2 linked regions of the Caenorhabditis elegans genome follow. The protein of the gene in region 1 purifies or fractionates together with the protein of each later gene. This does not show direct contact. Each region holds a gene or a part of one and is shown in the gene's direction. Other genes may lie near its edges.

Evidence for each region. Proteins that work in one complex are often made in the same cells at the same time.
Region 2: the proteins of ugt-37 (region 1) and snr-5 fractionate together in Caenorhabditis elegans (co-fractionation; one large-scale study listed by BioGRID). This does not show direct contact.

What each region holds. Positions count from the first base shown.
Region 1 is NC_003283.11:7,143,594-7,147,353, reverse strand, and holds the start of ugt-37 (glucuronosyltransferase), read left to right. Parts: upstream 1-2,035; 5' UTR 2,036-2,049; coding exon 2,050-2,193; intron 2,194-2,576; coding exon 2,577-2,886; intron 2,887-2,936; coding exon 2,937-3,047; intron 3,048-3,348; coding exon 3,349-3,721; intron 3,722-3,760. Other genes in the region: ugt-38 (glucuronosyltransferase), read left to right, coding at 1-27, 74-383, 427-1,050, 1,114-1,199, 1,243-1,475, 1,524-1,698.
Region 2 is NC_003281.10:7,860,227-7,863,095, forward strand, and holds snr-5 (putative small nuclear ribonucleoprotein F), read left to right. Parts: upstream 1-1,843; 5' UTR 1,844-1,845; coding exon 1,846-1,942; intron 1,943-1,992; coding exon 1,993-2,095; intron 2,096-2,202; coding exon 2,203-2,260; 3' UTR 2,261-2,348; downstream 2,349-2,869. Other genes in the region: cuc-1 (Copper transport protein ATOX1), read right to left, coding at 379-506, 553-625, 705-713; putative transporter slc-17.3, read right to left, coding at 2,416-2,661, 2,714-2,867.

The sequences.
Region 1 (3,760 bases):
TCTTTAACAGACGCTGGTCACAACGTGGTACGATTTTCAAATCAGAAATTAATCAATTGACACTTTTATTCAGGCATTTTTCACACCAATAATTGTCGAAAAATACCGAAACTTTAATTATACAAAATCAACGAAAGATGTAGTTTACATGGAACCTTCGAAGAAACTGAAAGAATATGGAAGACAAATGAGTACAGGAGATTTTGTCAGGTATTGGACTGAAGACTCAACGGCCACAGAAATTATCACAGTTGTTCGGATTTTTCAAAAAATGTATAATGAGCAGGGAACAGTGATGAAGGACAATATCGAAATTCTGAATGATTTGAAGAAACGGAAATTCGATGTTATCATTTTCGAGGCATTTATTTTTTCAGCCTATCGTAAGCTTTTTAATATCTAACAGGCCAGATATTTTATTTTCAGCATTGATGGATTATCTGGAAATCCCAACATTTATTCCATCTCTATCTGTTGCACACGACACTGCATTGGCAGTAGAAATTGGTGAACCAGTTATGCCAAGTGTAGTTTCAGACTGCTTATCTCCATTTGGTGATAAACTATCAATAACTGAAAGAGCATTCAATGCATTCATGGTTCCATATTTTGATTTTATGATTGGATACCCCACACATAGATCTTTCAAACCTCCATACAATCCAATTGATATAAGATCTATCGTTCCCGAGGCATCATTTGTATTCCTCAACTCTAATCCATTTGTTGATTTTCCAAGGCCAACTCTCACAAAAACAATTCAAATTGGAGGAATATCAGTTGATTCAAATGAATTGAGAAGTCAAAAACTTGATGAAACATGGTCAGAAATTCTCAAGTTGAGAGAAAAAACAATGTTAGTGTCATTTGGATCAATGTTGTACTCAAAGGATATGCCATTCAAAAATAAAATAGCATTGAAAAATGCAATGGAAAAGTTCAAAAATGTAACATTTATTTGGAAGTATGAAGATGATAGTTCTGACGAATTCGCAAAAGGAATTGAAAATATTCATTTTGCAAAATGGGTTCCACAAACTGCTCTTCTTGGTAAGTTTGTATTCCTTCGGTTATTCAAGACATAAAAACTAAAATTCAGTTATTCTATTTCAGCTGACTCCCGTCTCTCTGCTTTCCTTACTCACGCCGGACTTGGTAGTATCACTGAACTCAGCTACTTGGGTAAACCTGCTATCTTGGTATGTCAAAACTATTCAAATCTATAAAATTGTAATATTTTAGTGCCCACAACTATTCGACCAAATGAGAAATACTAAAATGCTTGTCCGTCACAATGGATCTATCGAGCTATCGAAATATGATCTGGGAAAGTCTGAGAAAATTATTGAAGCTTTTCAAGCAATTTTGTTTGATTCTTCATATGCAAAAAATGCTCAGAAATTAGCAGAACAGCTTGAGAATCAGCCAATTAAACCGAAAGAAATGATGGTTAAACATGCTGAATATGCAGCCAGGTTGGTTTTTTATATTTTACTAAGATAAAATTATTATTCAAGTTCTAGATTTGGGCGTCTACCATCACTGGATCCATACTCGAGAAAAATGTCTTTCGTTGAATATTTCTTGCTTGACGTCGCAGCCATTTGTGTTTTTATACTGACATTTGTAGTTTTTGTAGTAACGAAATTAGTACAGTCTTTATTTGATATCTTTTTGATAAAAAGAAAAACTGAATGATGCATGGAGTGTTTGATAAAAGCGCTTTCTACCCATGTGTAGCCTCTTCAATTTTTGTTATAATGGTTTTTTTTTTGAATAATATAATTATTTATTTCAGTGGATTTTTAACTAAATTACTATCTACCAGGAAGTAATTTTTTTTCAAATAGTCCAACCAAATCGTTAAAAAACAGAAAAAAAAACAATAATATGAACTTGAAATAACAACAAAAGTCTAGCCTAGACATGGTCACACACACTTTATACATTAATGTGACCAATTTCTGACTATTTTGTGTTATCTGCCGATACAAATGAGAGACCTTATATAAATAGTGAAAAATAAATTGTCTGAAAACATTGATCAGGATGAAAATTCTTATTTTACTCTTTGCTTGTTTCAATGTAAATTTTTCTTATAATTTTCTAATTTTCTCTCCATTATTTGGTCATAGCCACACAACTTTCTTTGCTAAAATTGCGGATACTCTTTCTGAAGCTGGGCATAATGTAGTAAGTTTTCGAACTACAAATATAATGGACTTAAAAAACAATGATTCAGTTTATCACCGCCTAATCTGGCATTTTCCCAAAACCTCTTGGCAGGGTGCACACTGTCTCTTTTTTTGAAATGATTGTTTAGAGTGAGTTGTTAATATTTTGATATTTAACTAGAACTCTCAGACAGGTCTGGTAAATGTTTTTTAATCGAAAAAGGGTTTTTTCCAATTAGACGAATTAATAGATGACGAGTGTAGTTTGAAATTCTTGAACTTAATTATGTAATATTTTTGGATGAAACGTTTAACTATCTCAAAACCTCAAATCTACATATTTAAAACAATACGCTAAAAAAAAGTCAACGAATAGTTTGTTTCCAAAATTCAATTTTTTAGACATTTTTCACACCTACAATCATCAGAAAGTTTTCGAAGATCAACTATGTGAAACACACAAAACACGTGATCCACCTGGAACCCTCTGAAAAGCTGGAGCGATACGGAAATCAGATGGAAGATGTGGATATATCCAGATTTTGGACTGATGACTCTTCGATGGCTGAGATGTTTCCAATGATTAAGCTTTTTAATGAAATGTTTGCTGAGCAAGCATTTGTATTGGGGCAGAATCTAGATGTGCTCGATGAGCTCAAAGAAATGAAATTTGATGTAATGATTTTTGAAAGATTTGCGGAATGTGCATATCGTAAGTTGGTCTTGAAATTTAAAATTGAACGAAATGTAATTGAATTTCAGCTCTGCTTGAATATCTGGAAATTGAAACATTTATTCCATCGTCATCATTGTTATTTGATCCAAATTTATTAATATCAATTGGAGAGCCAAGAATACCGAGTACAGTACCACGTGAGTAGACCTTTTTGCTGATACAGTCGATCAAAGAATGTCTTAAAAATATTTAATTGGAACTAACTGGAAAATCTAAGCATAAAAACTAAGCATTAAAAACTAAGCACGTTGGACTTGAAATTTTGTGCGGAATCCAGTTGAAACCCTATTTCTTGATATGGTGAAAAATCTACTCAATAGTTGTTTAATTGTGACCACAAATCGAGTGATATCATTTTGAATAGATATGTATAATAATTTTGGATAAACAATGATCACAATGGAAACATTATTAACAGTTAACTAACTAGTATTTCAGTTCCTATGTCCAAATTCACTGACAAAATGACAATGACCGAGCGGCTTCTCAATGCAATTGCTGTTCCAATTTTCCATTCGCTTCTTCCAACTCACGAATTCAAATCATTCCGCCCTCCATATCAAGCCATTGATATTCAGAAAATGGAACATTTGAGCTCTTTTATACTCAGTAATTCCAATCCATATATTGACTATCCCCGTCCAACATTGGAGAAAAATGTTCAAATTGGAGGAATCTCAGTTGATGTTGAGAATCTAAAAATCCACAAAGTGAATGAAGAATGGGATCGAATTCTAGACATGCGACAAAAAACTATTCTAGTATCGTTTGGCTCTGTCATGCTCTCAAAAGATATGCCAGTGGAAAATAAGTAAGCTGTGCGACTGAAATTGTTATTATTCAATTTTTT
Region 2 (2,869 bases), on another chromosome or scaffold:
TCTCACCACATCGTTAGTAGGATTTCAGAACACATTAAGTAGAAATCAAGAGACGCGGAATAGTGAAATGAAAATGCGACGTTTACCTTTCTGAGAAGGACGGTTACACCGGATGTACGCGTCGACGCTTTAATCTAATAAGGATAAGGTTCAATGCATGAAAAGGTGTTTACATTTGAAACCTTCTATTTCGGTTAAAAGAACTCGAATGAAATATTGCATCAGAAAATCTATAGTTTAGAAAATGCGTTTATTTTTAGAATAGGACAATTTTACAAGCAAGAGTCATAAATTAATACAAAAATTACAGAAATGTCAAAAAATAACGATATTCACAACCATTCGGATAGAAATTAAAGAGACAATCAAAAGGGTCATTTATTGTAGTTGCTTGATCTCTTTTCCTGTTTTCTTCAGAGCTTCAAGTACATCAGATGCTGGTAAATCAGTTGTAACTGTGATTTTCTTGGTTTCCACGTTAATATCGTCAATTTTGATTTTGTCTTCTGTAGAATAATAGGATTAATTTGATTAACAAAAAGTAAACCAAACCTCCAAGCTTTCCTAGAACTTTTCGCGCAGCATTTGCACAGCCATTGCATGTCATGCCCATTTCGAAAACGTACTGAAAATGTTCAAATTATTTTTTTTTTCACAAATATGAGAATATTTAATTGTAATTTGTAAAAAGTTAAATAATTTACCTGTGTCATGATATTTGTTGAGTCAGAAATCTGGAAACTCTGCTTCTGCTTGCCTGAAAAACGTTAATTTGAATGATTGGAATTAGTACAGTCGAAAAGAAATGAACAAAGAGACGCAAAATGGAGAGACAGTGATAGGGCGACTCGTGGTCAATGCTTTATCTCTGAGAATTTGCATCATTCGACATTTTTTGATCAAGTTTTCAAGAAACTGCGATAATTAAAAAAGGAACTATTGAGATGGGACAACTCGAATGGTTTAAGCAACTTTTAAATGTTTTCCAGTTTTTTTTTTTACTTTTTGGAAAAATTTATGGAAAAATGAGAAAGAAGCTTAGAAACAGGATAAAGACACCAAATGACGTCACAGCTTTGCATTAATGCATCTTCTCTATTTTCTCGGCGTCTCACTCATCTTCTACTTTGAAACGAGCGTTTTTATGGGGTGAGAAAATTATCGATTTTAAGGGTGATCAGTTAAAGAGAAAAATAAAGACGATAACATTTTGATGGAGCCTGTTAAATGTTGTGAATTGGAAGAAATAGAGCCTTATATAAAGAACTGTTTTATCATCTACAGTAGTCCGAAAGCCATTTAGCAGGATATTCGAGGCTGAAGAGAAGTTAACTATATTTAGATAGCATAACTTATTAAAACTCAAAAAGTACAAGGACATTGAAAAAGCGGAAAATACAAATACTCAGTTTAAATTAACTAAAAAACCAAAACCCACATCTTTTTCATGCATGATGCATGGGTATGATTAATTTTATGTCGTCAAGTATGGTGTCGCATACGCAGTCTGCAGTATGTCGTATTATCTGATGCTAGCGCAACTTTCGAAAATTCAAGGTTCTTTTTTCATTTTTATGGAGGATTTCGCAGCGTTTTAACCTTTTTAAATGTGTTTTGTTGAGTTTATGTTTATTAAAACAACTTTGTCACTATTAGAAAATAGATACATCTTTCCATCTCACTGAAAAAACCGTCAGATGGGTTTTAAACTTCTTAAATTGTTCAAACATAACAATTGTGATTCGGAAACGCTTTGAATGTATTTTTATTGCTTAAATTACTTGTGTCCTTCACTATTTTCGATATCCCTCGTTTCAAAATATATTATTTAAAAATATTTCAGAAATGTCCGCAGTTCAACCAGTGAACCCAAAACCGTTCCTCAACAGTCTCACCGGAAAGTTTGTCGTTTGCAAACTGAAGTGGGGAATGGAGTACAAAGGTTTGTATTGACATAATGAAATATTTCACCAAAAGCGCCAAATGTTTAAGGTGTCCTTGTTGCTGTCGACTCCTACATGAATCTGCAGCTGGCTCACGCCGAGGAGTACATTGACGGAAACAGTCAAGGAAATCTCGGAGAGATTCTTATCCGGTTGGTGCATTTTTTAAAAGAAAAAATTCAAGCCGTAGAAACTAAAGTTATTACAATCTTATGCACATTTATATCGTAGTAAATCTTGAAAAATGTTCTAACTTTAGATGCAACAACGTTCTCTACGTGGGAGGCGTGGACGGAGAAAACGAGACGAGTGCCTAAATTCTTCAAACCCTTCTCAACAATTGATCTTATGTTCACAAGTTTTCTGTCTTTTTCGCACATTCTTAATCAATAAATTATAATTATCTTATTAAAGAAGTTTTTAAAATATTTATTAAATGAAAAAAAAAATCATCAGCAAATTATGTAAATTATCAAAGACACAGCGAATCCTCTTTCACCAACGTGGCGCTCATTTCATTTTTGACATCTACTTCTTCAACAACTACAATACCATTCTCAATTGTCTTCAGCTTCTCTTTCTCATTCATCTCCTGATCATCCTCAACTTTAGCCCAATCTTGTAATTCTCCTGATCCGAATAACAAGAATATTGAACCAGAGAAAATATGTGCCAGTGAGCATCCTATGAAGATATTCTGCCACTCCGCAGCGGTTCCCTAAGAATATGGATAGCAAGTAGATTTGTCAAAAATCTCTAAAATAGCTTACGTCTTTTCTGAACATGCTCATGACTGCAGGAGTTGTCAATCTACCAATCATTGCAACAAACATTGAAATTGCAGACATGGTTGCAGTATATTGTGGTGCCAAACTGAGTAGTGATGTGTAAAATCCACTCACAAATGTTCCCATTGAGCTATACCT